Rattus norvegicus: one gene and its partners. The protein of the gene in region 2 interacts with the protein of the main gene of each other region in a pairwise test. Links are inferred from orthologs where the notes say so. Each region holds a gene or a part of one and is shown on either strand. Other genes may lie near its edges.

Evidence for each region. The genes of interacting proteins can lie anywhere in the genome.
Region 1: the proteins of Psma1 (region 2) and Mid2 interact in binary tests that used the Homo sapiens proteins (3 or more experiments, as listed by UniProt). The two-hybrid records come from large-scale screens. The link is inferred for Rattus norvegicus from reciprocal best matches to the Homo sapiens genes PSMA1 and MID2.
Region 3: the proteins of Psma1 (region 2) and Vcp interact in binary tests that used the Homo sapiens proteins (3 or more experiments, as listed by UniProt). The two-hybrid records come from large-scale screens. The link is inferred for Rattus norvegicus from reciprocal best matches to the Homo sapiens genes PSMA1 and VCP.
Region 4: the proteins of Psma1 (region 2) and Trim10 interact in binary tests that used the Homo sapiens proteins (3 or more experiments, as listed by UniProt). The two-hybrid records come from large-scale screens. The link is inferred for Rattus norvegicus from reciprocal best matches to the Homo sapiens genes PSMA1 and TRIM10.

What each region holds. Positions count from the first base shown.
Region 1 is NC_086039.1:109,223,810-109,227,326, reverse strand, and holds part of Mid2 (probable E3 ubiquitin-protein ligase MID2), read right to left. Parts: intron 311-3,517; coding exon 183-310; intron 1-182. UniProt on the Homo sapiens protein: E3 ubiquitin ligase that plays a role in microtubule stabilization. Mediates the 'Lys-48'-linked polyubiquitination of LRRK2 to drive its localization to microtubules and its proteasomal degradation in neurons.
Region 2 is NC_086019.1:177,885,047-177,889,220, forward strand, and holds the start of Psma1 (proteasome subunit alpha type-1), read right to left. Parts: upstream 2,812-4,174; 5' UTR 2,724-2,811; coding exon 2,721-2,723; exon of another isoform or gene 2,241-2,720; intron 1,268-2,240; coding exon 1,223-1,267; intron 937-1,222; coding exon 835-936; intron 727-834; coding exon 623-726; intron 1-622. UniProt on the Homo sapiens protein: Component of the 20S core proteasome complex involved in the proteolytic degradation of most intracellular proteins. This complex plays numerous essential roles within the cell by associating with different regulatory particles.
Region 3 is NC_086023.1:62,008,381-62,011,897, reverse strand, and holds part of Vcp (transitional endoplasmic reticulum ATPase), read left to right. Parts: coding exon 1-84; intron 85-164; coding exon 165-300; intron 301-1,045; coding exon 1,046-1,158; intron 1,159-1,638; coding exon 1,639-1,803; intron 1,804-1,905; coding exon 1,906-2,028; intron 2,029-2,612; coding exon 2,613-2,825; intron 2,826-3,020; coding exon 3,021-3,329; intron 3,330-3,490; coding exon 3,491-3,517. UniProt on the Homo sapiens protein: Necessary for the fragmentation of Golgi stacks during mitosis and for their reassembly after mitosis. Involved in the formation of the transitional endoplasmic reticulum (tER).
Region 4 is NC_086038.1:1,697,366-1,700,479, reverse strand, and holds part of Trim10 (tripartite motif-containing protein 10), read left to right. Parts: coding exon 1-96; intron 97-982; coding exon 983-1,005; intron 1,006-1,684; coding exon of another isoform or gene 1,685-1,708; coding exon 1,709-1,824; intron 1,825-2,819; coding exon of another isoform or gene 2,820-2,845; exon of another isoform or gene 2,846-2,888; intron 2,889-3,011; coding exon 3,012-3,044; intron 3,045-3,114. UniProt on the Homo sapiens protein: E3 ligase that plays an essential role in the differentiation and survival of terminal erythroid cells. May directly bind to PTEN and promote its ubiquitination, resulting in its proteasomal degradation and activation of hypertrophic signaling.

The DNA of each region.
Region 1 (3,517 bases), on a different chromosome or scaffold from region 2:
TGTGGTCTACAACCGTACCACCTGAAGCACACTTGATCTTGTCTGAAAAACTACACATACTGGAAAAGTGTTATTTTTTTCATTATTGCAAATATTTTCCTTTTCAGTTTACTCTAGACAAATGGGTACAGAAGGAAAATAAATAAATACAATGGGGGGAGGAAAGCACAGCTCTTCCACACCTGTTAAATAGTCTAGCCCCTCCAATAGTTTCTTTTCTCTAGAAAAATCTAAAGCAAAGTTTTCAAAGGCATCATTAAAATTGATGTCTGGAATCAGAACTTGCGAAGATGCAGTTGCCATAGCGACCCTGAAAAGAAAAAAAAAATACATCAATATACATCCAAATAAGCTTGCAACCTTCATCTAGTGTTTGATTTCTGGTTTAACGAGGTAAAAATAAATCACTTGTAAGTGAAAATACCAGATCTCTGCCTTTCCAACGGAAACGGTTTCCATTTTAATCGTAAGGAACCAATTAAGAGTTATACCATATTTACACACATATGTTCGCCCCTCAAACACACTCCGCCATCCTGTCTTAATTTTGAGAAGTAAATACAGGATTTTTTCCCCTCTGCATCATTTTCCATCTGGCAGGCAGCATCAAAGTAGACCTCTGCTGGCTTGGGAAGAGCAGCTTCAGATTGCTTTCTGTCTCCTTTTTCCGTGCTAACTAAGAAACCAACGTGTTGGGTTAGTGTCTCCCCATTAATACTATTCATTATTTGATCTTTTAAAATATTCATATTTCATTGCATTATTCTCTAATTGCATAACACTGTGATAACTATGTTCCCACCGAAATGTCTCTTTCCTATTTATGTATTTATTTGAGATAGGGTTTTGCATATCCCAGGCTAGCCTTGAACATGCTACCCAGCCAAGGATTACCTTGGAATCCTGTTTCGCCTCCTTATGTCTCCTGAGGGTCAGGGAGATGTGCCACCATGTCCCATTTAGGAGGTGCTGGGGATTCAACCTAAGGCTCTGTGTATGCTATGCAAACAGTCTGCTAACTGGGTTACAGTCTTAGGCTGTCCAACTAACTTTAAGAGACACAGGAATAGGTTCCTATTTTACCTCCTATATCTTCTTCTATGGTTCCTAAAACAATGTTGAACACATAGTGAATAAATATGTGTTGAACAAGTAACTGAGTGACTTACAAAAACAATATAATACTAAAGTTCATAGAATGCTTAGTATATATAAGGTTCTGTGCAAGAACATGAAGAATCTGCATAAAGTATCTAATTTTCTTCTACCACAATGTTATACAGTGGAAGTTATTTCTATTTTGTAAGCAAGGAAGCATGCACATTTAAAAGCTAAGGAGGCTGCCAAGATCACACACAATAGTAAAAGTCAAATTTTAATTGAAGCCACGTTTGTCTGATCTTAAATTCTGTTTCCATAACCGTGTACATTATTCCTAATTTTAAGTATACATTTTATGTACATCAGCAATTCTTATGATCCAATGGTTAATTAGACTTATGTGGGGAAACTTTTACAAAAATATTCAGATTTTAGTCCAGTATCAGACCTTCTGAATCAGAATTAATGAAGTTCCTTGTGCATACAGATAGCAAAATGGAAGGAAACATTATCTTGCAAACACTACGGAGGTTCCAGTGGAGAGAGGAAGCATGGGGTAGAGTAAAATCAGAACAGCAACTTTTATACTGAGCCATTTGTAAGGCAATGAGCAATTGGGCAAATACATATACTACATATCTACAACCAATAGCTTGTGCCTACTTCTGAAACCATAGATGTTTCTAGAATCGATTGCATGACAGCAAAAATAAATGAGGGGTTAACCGCATACAACTGTTTTGGATTTTATTTTTGGTATTGTTTTATCTTGTTGTTTTTGCTTTAACAGAATCTGCTGTACTTTAGGCTGGCCTTCACCTTCCTATGTACTTAAGGATGGCCTTGAGCTTGTGGTCCTTTTCTAGTACCACCTTAGTGCTAAGATTAAAGGGATACAACTAGATGCCCAGCACAAGACAATCTTAAGGTTTCACAGTGAAGAGCTATTTTTCTAGTATTTGATGAATAATAATCTTAATATTAAGTCAGAAAAATTGGTCATAATTTTTTCCTGGCCTTCCCAATATTTTTCTTTTATTCATCTACCTATCCATCCATTCACATACCCAAACGTTATTAAGCAAAACTAAGGTGCCCTACACTGTGCTCCATTGTACAGATATTCAAGGAAACAGGTTCACTGTGATCCACGCGTTCAATGAGCTCAGAGGTCATGGGGAACGAACAGAGACATTAAATGGGGAATGCAAGGAGGGTATGGGAAACACAGGAACATGGGACCAAAGACAACTCTCCCCAGAACAAGTTTCTGTTTTATTTTGGGTTTTGGTTTTGGTTGGGTTTGGTTTGGTTTGGTGTTTGTTTGTTCCTTGCCTTAAGACAGGGTTTCTCTGTGAAGTCTGAGCTGTCCTGGAACTCTGTAGGCCAGACTGGCATCAAACTCAGAGATCCACCTACCCCCGCCTCTCCAGTACCAAGATTAAAGGCATGCACCACTGTGCCCAGCTGGAAGCTACTCTTAAGCCATGACCTACATGATGATCAGTTAACAAAGGCTTAAAGGGTGGAGAAAGAGGCAGAACCATGTGAAATATTACATGCTATGTTTTTAACTCGAGCCTTTAACCTAAGAATAAGAACAGGAGACACTGGAGCAATTTAAGTAGAGGAATAATGAGCATAAATTTCTGTTTTAACAATAGTTCTAAAGCTGTAGCGGAAGAAGTGTGAGCTTCTCAAGTGAGAATCCTCCTTGAATGCCTTAGCAGCAGATTTTTAAGTCACTTAAGAATAAGCAGTAAGTGAGGTAATGAGGCAGGATAGTAGGACAGGGAAATTAGGGACTGTCTTCTGTAAGCCTTCAACTGTTAAGGAATCTCACAATAATCCCCACATTTACAGGAAAGGCACATCTTTTTTTTTTTTTCTTTTCTTTTTTTTCGGAGCTGGGGACCGAACCCAGGGCCTTGCGCTTGCTAGGCAAGCGCTCTACCACTGAGCCAAGTCCCCAACCCCGGAAAGGCACATCTTAACACCCTTGTGTAACCTTTGGACCCTGGTTTTACCTGATCAGGGTGAAATCTTACTCAAGGTTCCTACAGCCATCCCATTCCTTTCCTTATCAAAATGAAGAAAAGAGACAGAGGAAGGGTGTTCCCTTTAAAACACCTTGAACTGTGTAAGTTCAAAACCCTCTAAAATCTTCTATTGAGCTACCGCTAAGGAATTCAAGGGGGATGTCCTGTGAGAGGCCCATGCTCATACTCTCGGACATGTCGCATCCGTTCCCTGAGCACTTTTCTTTCTATTAACACCCCAAGTTCAAATCTGTGTCACACGTTCTTCCTAATAAACTCCAATTCTGCACCATACTGACTCAATCTGAAATTCTGCTTGCAGCCTAGAACCCTGGCTTTGCTTGAGTGCAGGCAGGTCTCTGAAAAGAACTCTGGCT
Region 2 (4,174 bases):
TTCCAGAGGTCCTGAGTTCAACCAGCAACCACATGGTGGCTCACAACCACCTGTAATGAACCGATGCCCTCTTCTGGTATGTTTGAGGACAGTGAAGCTGTATTCATATGCATAAAATAAATAAAATCTTAAAAAAAAAAAAAGGAAATATGGGGTTGGGGATTTAGCTCAGTGGTAGAGCGCTTGCCTAGGAAGCGCAAGGCCCTGGGTCCTGGGTTCTGTCCCCAGCTCCGAAAAAAAAAAAAAAAAAGGAAATAGAAATACTTAGTTACACACCCAAGCCCACTAAGGTATTTACAATATTACAAATTTTAATATTCTGGGGGCTAGAGAGATAGCTTAACTGTCTCAGAGGTTCCTGAGGTCCCAGGTTCAATTCCAGTATCCACATGGAAGCTCATAATCTTCTGTTACCCCAATACCAGGGGAGTCTAAGGTCTGAAGAAACCAGACACACACTAGTGCAGACATACATACATGAAGATAAAACACCCACACAAATAAACAATTAAAAAGTATAATATTCTGGGAGATGACTTCCTATATCTTATCTAGGTATTTTTTAATAAAATAGTCTATTAAAAACGAAAAGCGATGCTTAATTTTTCATAATCATACATACCATAACAGTCTGGCATCAGCAGTTAGACCCGCAATTGAGATACCAATATGGTTGTCAACGTGGAGAATTTTCTTCTGGTGAGCGGCAAGCTCTGACTGTGCTCTCTAAATAGACACAGCATTTTAGTTTGGAGGTTGATTATTTATCAGTGAAATTTACATTTGATAGCTCTGGCTCCTGAGGGAGGAAGATAGGGTCATCATGTCACTCACCTTCAGCGCGACCAGCACTGCATGTGTCTTCGACTTCAGGCCGACTGTCGCTGAGCCTTGCTTTACAGCTTCCATTGCATATTCGATTTGATGAATCCTGCCCTAAAGACAAAATAATATTTTTCACTTTTTGAAACCAATAAACTAATTTTAATTCTAACTTTAAGCTTGTAGCCCATAAGCTCACAAGCTTTGTTTCCTTTTTTAAAATAGGGTTCCACTAAGTTGCTCAAACTGCCCACCAACTCCATGATCCTATGGCTCTGGCCTCCTGACCAATTAAAAGATTACAATGTGAACCTCCAAGCCCAGTTTATGATCTCACAGGTTTCTGACCCTACTCCAGCCATGAAAAGTCACTTCATTAATAGGTCATAAAACATTTTACCTGAGGGCTCCAAACAGTGACATCGTTGTCATACTGGTTGCGAAACTGAAAGTGGAAGAAAGATTAATATGAGAACATTACAATTTTCAAATTTTAACAATAAGACATGTGTTTCAATTGTTGAAGCCTCTCTGCTAGTGCAGCTTTCCTGAGACACTATTAGAGTGCTCAGTTTGCAATGCAATTCTACCTTAATCATGTACAGGCTGTCGGGATGAATGGACTAGGGTCTTCCTACCTTCATATTCTGCCATTCTCCATAGCACTTCCCTCGGGCAGTCAAGTGCTAAAGAATGCACACTTTGCTCATACTACTCTCTTACACAGGGCTCTAATAATTTGGCAAAGGGCTTTTCTTTAAGTCGACTTAAATGTCTATCTCTTGAAGGTTTCTTCTTTTTTCCGAAAATTCTCAGCACAATTTTCCAGCAGAGCTAAAGTCTCATGCAGCCCAGTTTGGCCTTCATTTGCTATATACCTGGGAGAATGATCCTGAAGTCCTGCTTCAGCCTCCCAAGTGCTCAGATCACAGGTGTCTGCCATCATGCTCAACTATATATATTTTTCCCCCTTCTCTCTCTTTCCGACTCGGATTCTACACTCTGGCTGTCCTGGAACTCACTGTGAGTTAGGCTAGCCTCAAACTCACGAATTCTACCTGTCTCTGCCTCCTGAGTGCTGGGATTAAACTCAAGCACCACAACACCCGGTCTTTTACATACCTTTTTATCTTTATAGTATGATTAAAGTTACGTTTGGCTTAGCTTTGAGCTTTCTTCCTGTACTTTACCACTGGATGAACAAACACACGAATTCTCAGTAAAAAGGTGGCCACAAATAGCTACCGTGGCAGAACCACTATAGCTATAATGTCATTACTAAAGCAAGTTTGTCGGCCCTTGGGAGTATAATATTCATGAGGGTAAAAAGACCAAGAGTTTGCATGGCAGACTCGACAGAAGCAGCCCAGGGCCCTACGTTGTAAACCTGATTCTATCACTTTCTCTTTCATCTCTAGGTAACAAAACAAAATGATTGTATGGAGCCTTTCCCTACGGCACTCTAATGAGACGGATAAAGCCAAATACACCCACAAGGAAGATGAACTTGGTCTGAAGACCTGACTGCAGGCTCTGGTCTGCACTGACGATGCCAGATGCACCCTTTCACCCCTATAGTCTCTCTCCTATGCAGATCACGAAGGACCATACAGCATCTTGGAATAGGCCACTTAAGTAAATTGGGAGGGAAGGACGACTGGCTGGCCGAGAAAGAAGCGCCTGGACCCCATGCAAAGTGGAGAAGCTGCGCGATAGGCCGCCTAGGTTACTGATCGCTTCCCGCCGGCCAGGCCGCAGATGCTGAATCACTGCAGGAGCATGTCCGTGAGGTAAGCTCCCTCTCCCACCGCCCCGCGCCTCAGGGAACAGAGGCCGATCCCCGACCAGGTCAGCTGACCTCAGCCCCAAACCCTCCGAGGACTCGGGGCTCAACACACCATAGCTCCGGCGAGGTTACAACCAGACACAGCAGCGGACACAGGAACACGGCCTCAACTACGGTTCGGTGATCGTCAAAGAAGGCTGCGGAGTCTTCACGGCGCCGACGCAGGAAGTGCAGTCTATCCCAGAGCCACGGATCAGCGTTTAACGCTTCCCCGCCCTCCAGCTCTGGGTGGGCGGGGCCTGCGAAAGCAGATAAAATGGGATTGGTGGGAAACCCGGGAATGCCTGTGCGCAGAGAGGGTTGGGGGCGTGGTTCCATGTCAAGCGCTGTGTTTCCGTGTTTCCCCCCTCCCCCCCCAGTGGATTGCAGATTCCCGCCAACTCTCGGTCCACTCCACTGAACATCGCCCCCAGCTAGGGATGGTGTGGCGGACCCGCATAGATTTCATCACAGTGCCCAGAGGTTTGGGAAGCAGCACGACTGAAAGAGGTTGCAGAAAAAGCCACAGAACCATTCATTCTCTCTCTCTCTCTCTCTCTCTCTCTCTCTCTCTCTCTCTCTCTCTCTCTCTCTCTCCCTCTCCCCCTGTCCCTCTTCCCACTCCCCAAACCCTCTCGTGTGTGTGTGTGTGTGTGTGTGTGTGTGTGTGTGTGTGTGTGTGTGTGTTCGTTCGTTTGTGGTCCTGGCCCCTGAATATCTTGAGTACTTGGCGAGCCCATCCTTAAAGGCTCCTTGGTGTCTCGTGGTCGTATTACTCATTTTGTGATCATTAGTTGCCATTGTAGGACCAGGTTTCTGTTCTGATATTTGATTTTCGCTGTCCACAACCAAATGCCATATATGATAGATTAGGCCACTAGGGGGAAGGTGCGAGTTTTCTTACGGATTTTTAAAGAGCATCTTTTGATTTATCCCCAAACGAAATCAAGACAGTTCTGTGCTCACTGATCTACCTAACATCTACAGACTGCCAGTTCTGTTGAAGAATAGAGTCAGGTCTTTAAGGATCTGAACTTCAAAGGAGGAGTAACACATCACTTAAATGTCTCTGTTCACAGTAATTAGTATCACATTCTAAATATCTTTATGTATGTGTATATATGTACATTTTTTGTTTTTACATATGTTTTTTGTGTGTTTGTGTCCCTGCATACACTTATGTGAAAGTCTGAAGACAATGTTGGTGATTATCTCCTTGCACTGTGTGGATTCTGGGATTGAACTTTAAATTGATAGATAGGGCTGTTTTGTTTGCCCAGCACCAGCACAGTGCCTAACACATATTAGGTAAATAATTTGTATTGCTGAATGAACAATGGATTTTGAATGAATGGGTAATTAAATGCTGATTTTAAAATAGTTGGGGAACCGACTGCAGAGTGCCATTTACAACCATCTGTAACTCTAGGGGATCTGGCTTCTTCTGGTTTCAGCGACACTTGTGCATACATGTTGTGCTTCTACATAGGTAAAACACTCATATACATAAAATAGTTTTTTTAAAGC
Region 3 (3,517 bases), on a different chromosome or scaffold from region 2:
AAAGCCTTTGAGGAAGCTGAAAAGAATGCTCCTGCCATCATCTTCATCGACGAGCTTGATGCCATTGCACCCAAAAGAGAGAAAGTAGGAACCTACCCAATGGGATGGTAAGGACTTGTGAGGTCCTGACCTAGCTTCTGACCAGACATACTACTGTCTTACAGACTCACGGGGAAGTGGAGCGTCGCATCGTGTCTCAGTTGTTGACCCTTATGGATGGCCTAAAGCAGAGAGCACATGTGATAGTTATGGCAGCAACCAATAGACCCAACAGCATTGACCCAGCCCTACGGCGATTTGGTAAAGACCTTAAATTTTTTTCCTACACCACCCTTTTTTTTTTTTTTTTTTTTTTTAATATATAAGACAAGAGTTTCTCTGTGTAGCCCTGGCTGTCCTGAAACTATGAATACCAGGCTGACCTCAAACTCAAGAGATTGACCTGCCTCTGCCTTCTGAGTGCTTGGGATTAAAGTTGTGCACCACCATCGTGCAAACCAGCCTGTCCTTACTTGTTGATATATTGTAGGGTATATTGTTGGTATGTCTGTTGGGCTTGATTTCCTTATCTCACCTATGTCTTTAAGTTACTTAATCCTCAGAATTTAAGTTCTTTGTCATGACAGGACCTAAGGTTTTTTTTTTTTTTTTCCATTCTGTGTTCTCTCTAGGGCACTCCCTCAACCTTTCTAGTGCTGCGACCCTTTAATATAGTTCCTCATGTTGTAGTGACCTTCAATCATAAAGTTGTTACTACTTCATGGCTGTAATTTTGCTACTGTTATGAATTGTAATGTAAAATATTTGTCATAGAGGGTATTTGATATGTGACACCCACTCCCACCCCCGTTAAGTGGTTGTTCTGTCCCAGAGGGGTCGAGATCCAGGTTGAGAGCCACTGCTCTAGAGTAACTATCTATTTTTTGCCTAAGTCTGAAAGATTTCCAGGTTGTGAGGCATTAATGCTAACTTTAAATAAGAGAGTTCTGGAGTGACTTCTGTGGACCAGAAACTTCCTATTTTACATTCCTTTATTGTCCCATAGGTCGCTTTGACAGAGAGGTAGATATTGGAATCCCTGATGCTACAGGACGTTTGGAAATTCTTCAGATCCATACCAAGAACATGAAACTGGCAGATGATGTGGACTTGGAACAGGTGGAGTGGTGATGATGGCTGGCCAGAATTTAGGATAACTCTGTTGTAGGAGGTTGCAGGGGACTACATGCATAGACTAAGAAAAGAGGCTTCATATCAGTAATCTAGAACGGGGGGGGGGGGGGAGGACGGACAGGAGGAGCCTGAGTTTGAGGCTTGTTAGGGCTACACAGCAAGGTCGTTGTATCTTTTCTTTTTTTCTAAAAAAAAAGCTGGATGGACTTTGTTTTTAACTTCAGAGCAGGAATGTGCTTCTTAGTTGTTGCTGTATGTATGAGTTGTTGGAGCAGTTTTATTTTCAGCTCCCCAATCCGGTGTGAATATTTAACACCTCTGCCTGTAAAAGGTCTGCTATAATATATCTCTTCAAGGAAACAGGAAGAATCAGAGATATGAAACATGGGATGGAGTCAGGATTCTGTTTCTGACTTGATAAGGTAGCTGGATCTTGAGGATGGTCAGTATATCTTCTCTTTGCAGGTAGCCAATGAGACTCATGGTCATGTGGGTGCTGACTTGGCAGCCCTGTGTTCAGAGGCTGCTCTACAGGCCATCCGGAAAAAAATGGACCTCATTGACCTAGAAGATGAGACCATTGACGCTGAGGTCATGAATTCCCTGGCAGTTACTATGGATGACTTCCGGGTAAGGACCATATTACACCCAAATTAGGAATATGTTTATGTATTTTGTTGTGAGGACCCCGCCCCCAAGTCTCATCTCCACTTTTTCAAACTCCCTTTTTAGTGGGCCTTAAGTCAAAGCAACCCATCAGCACTTCGGGAAACTGTGGTAGAAGTGCCACAAGTAACCTGGGAAGACATTGGAGGCCTGGAGGATGTCAAACGGGAGCTTCAGGAGTTGGTTCAGGTAGGCTAAGTTTTGCTCTAGTATGGTGGGTCATTCCCTCAGTATATAATAATCAACTTTTAGGTCTCAGACTGATTTACTAAGAATTGAGCGTATAACTCTGTTACAGAGTTTTAGATAATAATGAACTGCCCTAAGTTACTGCTGCTACAGTGAAGTACTATGACAAAAAGCAAGTTAGGGAGGAAAGAGTTCCACACTGCTGTTCATCAAACAGAGCAGGAGCTGATGCAGAGGCCATGGAGGGGTGCTATTTAAGGCCTTGCTTCCAAAGCCAGCTGTCTTATAGAACCCAGAACCATCAGCCCAGGGGTGGGACCACCCACGATGGGTGGGGCCTTCCCACATCAAAAACTAATGAAGAAAATGCCTTATAGCCAGATTTTATGTAAGAATTTTCTCAAGGTTCCCTTTTTTCAGATAACTCAAGTTAGGTGTCAGGTTGATATAAGACTAGGTAGCATGGAAGCCTATATACAAAAAACTTGGATGTTAGACGTTTGTATCATAAAGATGCTATGCTTCTGATATGATTTGATTTAAAATATGGGGTTGCCCTTAAATTATCTTTGCTTTTCTTCTAGTATCCTGTGGAGCATCCAGACAAATTCCTCAAATTTGGCATGACTCCTTCCAAAGGTGTTCTTTTCTATGGACCGCCTGGCTGTGGGAAAACCTTACTGGCCAAAGCCATTGCTAATGAATGCCAGGCTAACTTCATCTCCATCAAGGGTCCTGAGCTGCTTACCATGTGGTTTGGGGAATCTGAGGCCAATGTCAGGGAAATATTTGACAAGGTAAGCTAGATGGCTAGCTGATGTTCATATGTATGTATGGCAAGGGGCAAGGTGGAATGAGAGGTTATTTCTCCAGACGCAAAAAATTTTATTACTGGCAGCTCAGTTGGGGCATTACTGATTACTCTGTTTTCTTCCTGAAGTATGAGAAATCTAGTTATATTAGTATTTGAGATGGTCTTTTCTTTTTCATAGGCACGACAAGCTGCCCCCTGTGTACTCTTCTTTGATGAGTTAGATTCAATTGCCAAGGCTCGTGGTGGTAATATTGGAGATGGTGGTGGAGCTGCAGACCGAGTCATCAATCAGATCCTGACAGAAATGGATGGCATGTCCACAAAAAAGAATGTGTTTATCATTGGAGCTACCAACCGGCCTGACATCATTGATCCTGCTATCCTAAGACCTGGCCGTCTTGATCAGCTCATTTATATCCCACTTCCTGATGAGAAGTCCCGTGTTGCCATCCTAAAAGCCAATCTGCGAAAATCCCCAGTTGCCAAGGCAAGTGCAAAGTTGTCAGCCATAGGGACTTTTTCTGTTAAGCAGATGTGGAGTGGCAGAGGCAGAAGCCAGTCTGTTTAAAATAGAAAGTCCAGAGACCCTGTGCTCTGTGGGAGGAAGGCACAGTGCTAACAGCTAACATACTCTTGTGCTTCCTTTAGGATGTGGATTTGGAGTTCTTGGCTAAG
Region 4 (3,114 bases), on a different chromosome or scaffold from region 2:
TTTGATTCCCTGGCCACGAGGGAGATCTGCCGGTTCAGCACCCTGATCGAGGAGCTGGAGGAGAAGAATGAGCGGCCAGCCAGGGGGCTCCTGACGGTGAGGCCTGGCCTACCCTCACCCCTAGGGTCTCTGGAATCATTACCTAGTCGGTACCTCCTTTACATACATGTCTCTGCATCCCGGACGGATATGGAACACGGAACAGGGGGTTGAACTCTAGGCTATGCTTCCCCAAGAGATGCCTGGTCACTGTGCTCTCTGGTCTTGGTCTTTCTTTCCTGCCATCCGTAGACACGAGGATATGGCGGTATAAAAAGGTGGAAGCTGCTCTTGAGAAGTATCGAGTGCTCGCTTCGGCAGCACATATACTAAAATTGGAACGATACAGAGAGAGAAGTATCGAGCAGCGTGCCGACAACTGCCAGGTGCTGCTCCCAAAGCAACATTGTAATAACTTGAACGTCCCCCTCTGCTGGCCAGAAAGTTCTTCCAAGACTGTCTTACTTCCTTGAACCTGAAGAGAAGAGTTATTGGGGTCCTGGAAGCAGGATTTAGGGAGATGTACTGGGTCCTGGGATATAAGACACCTTGGTGTAGGACTTGCTTACTTTTGCCTATAGCAAGAAGTAGGTCATATCACCAAGTCTGTCCATGAAGCAAAGGAGCCAGGTGCTGGTTTCTGGTCCTCATATCCAAGGATGGGAATACAGTACTTTGTATTTTATGGTCGAGACAAAAGTGGGAGAGAAAAAAACAGAACCTAATCTCTCTCTCTCTCTCTCTCTCTCTCTCTCTCTCTCTCTCTCTCCCTCCCTCCCTCCCTCCCCCTCTCCCCCTCTCTTCCCCCTTCCTCTCCCTCTTCTTCCCCCTCTCCCTCCCCCTCCCCCTTCCCCTATCCCCCTCTCTGTCCCTCTCCCTCTCCTTCTCCCTCCCTTTTCCCCTCCCTCCCTTCCTCCTTTCTTTTCCTCCTTCCTTCTTCCAGGATATCAGAAGCACTCTAATAAGGTTAGTGATAGTGTCTATTCCTTTTTTCCCCTGTAGACATCCATCCGTACACTACCCACCTAGTTATTGCCATGCAGATAAACCACACTCTCAATTTAATGTACAGCCGTGTATAAATCTACAAATGCTCAAATGTGTTCTCAGATACTGCCATAGATCTACCCACTTTTGCAGCAGTGGGGTCCGTCTGAGAGGATCCAAGTCTCTGTGTGGGAAGTCACTCCTCCAGGCCTTGTTAGAAGAAGATGGCCGTCTAGGGACCTCATTAAAAGAGAATAGTTCTGGGGCTGGAGAGATGGCTCAGTGGTTAAGAGCACTTGTTGCTCTTGCAAGGGGCCCAGGACTCAGTTCCCAGAACCCATACAATAGTTCATACCTAGTAGATCCTATACCCTCTTCTGTTCTCCATGAACACTGTATACATGTGATATACATACATGCTGGTAAAATACCCATACACATAAAATTAAATATTTTTTTAAAAGATTTATTTTTTAATTTAAGGTTGTTTTTTTTTTTCGGAGCTGGGGACTGAACCCAGGGCCTTGTGCTTGCTAGGCAAGCGCTCTACCACTGAGCCAAATCCCCAACCCCTTAAGTACGTTTTTAATTTTGCACTTTAAATTTTTGCTTAATTTAAAAAATTAAATATTTTTAAAAGATCTTTTAAAATTCCCAGACTCTGCCATTTCTGTGCCCCTAGATGTGAAACCAGAAAGGGCCGGAAACCTGAGGCTATATCCCCAGGACTGGGCCAAAGGATCCGGGACTTCCCCCAACAGGTCATGCCCCTGCGGCAGGAGATGAAGATATTTCTGGGTAAGGAGACCACAACCTGGGCTTAGGAACGGCCTCCTGCCTTCCCTGCCAAATGATTGTACTATGTGTTTTTTAGCACATCTCATTTCCTTCCGTACCTTGACTTTCTTATTTGCCAAGTCCGATAAAAATCTTAACTCTCGGGATTATGCGGCGGCGAAGAGACATAATAAAAGTGAGGACTTGGGAGTTGGGAATCAACCTATTAAACAAATCTGACCAGTTGACATGACGTAGTTGAGGAAATAATGGTTAACAACATCCATGACCCTACATCATCAAGGGTTCTCAGTAGCAGGTGTAATGCATTGTGTGTTTTAATGGTTACCTTTGTTAACTACAGCTGGTGGCAGTGATTGCCTCACCGTGGACGTTGATTCTTCCTTCTTCCTTTGCTTCCTGTCGCTGGTTTTTTTTTTTTTCACTCCTGAAAGTTGAACCCAGGGCTCCTGTATAGTAGTCAAATGCTCTACGATGGACTACGTGCCCTGGCTTTCCCTCTACTTTTTCTTTTTGTTGGAATGGCTGTCTAAACTGAGACACCCTTATAGGGACTGAGTCACACTCCCTTCCCAGAAGAGGGAGTCATCATGGCAGCCAGCCAAGAAAGTTCGAAATGTTGTGGCTTTCTGCTCCCTTCCAATGGTGAAATCGAGAACAATGTCACATATTTCTAAAGTTCACGCCCACAAAAAAAGTTCCCCTGGGAGGACATTTCTGGAGCCCTGCTTCCTCCAAGAACTCACAGTAGAGGAACTAGACGGTAGAGGAAGTTTTACTCTAATCAAAGGCTGACTATTGACTGTCCTAACCACTATTTCCAAGTGGAAGAAAAAAGGTGAACCTAATTATCTATTCCCTACGTATACGTGTATGAAAATAGAAGGCAGGACAGCCATAGTCCCTGTCTGCTCAGAGGTGGGGTAGCAGGTTTCTCCCTGAGTTCTAGGCCAGGGGCATCCGTAACCCCTTGTGAGACATCTGTGTCTCTGCAGCCCTGCCCCAGGGTGTCTGGATTTGAAATCGCAGTGATTGTTCTAAGAGGACCGGATGTAAGCAAACTTGTAAGTGCTGGTCTAGACAATTGCACCGCCATTCTTCTCTCTCTTCCTTCCCTCCCTGCCACTGGGTCTTCTGCGGTTTTGAGATCAATGAAATCTCATCTTGTCCTTATTTCCTCCTCACAGAAAAACTCTGCTTTGAGTTGGACTATGAGCCAGGTAAGCGACCCTGCATTAGGATGGGGAGAATGTTTTTTTTAAAGTCCTGAGAAAGAGAAACCACGTTTCT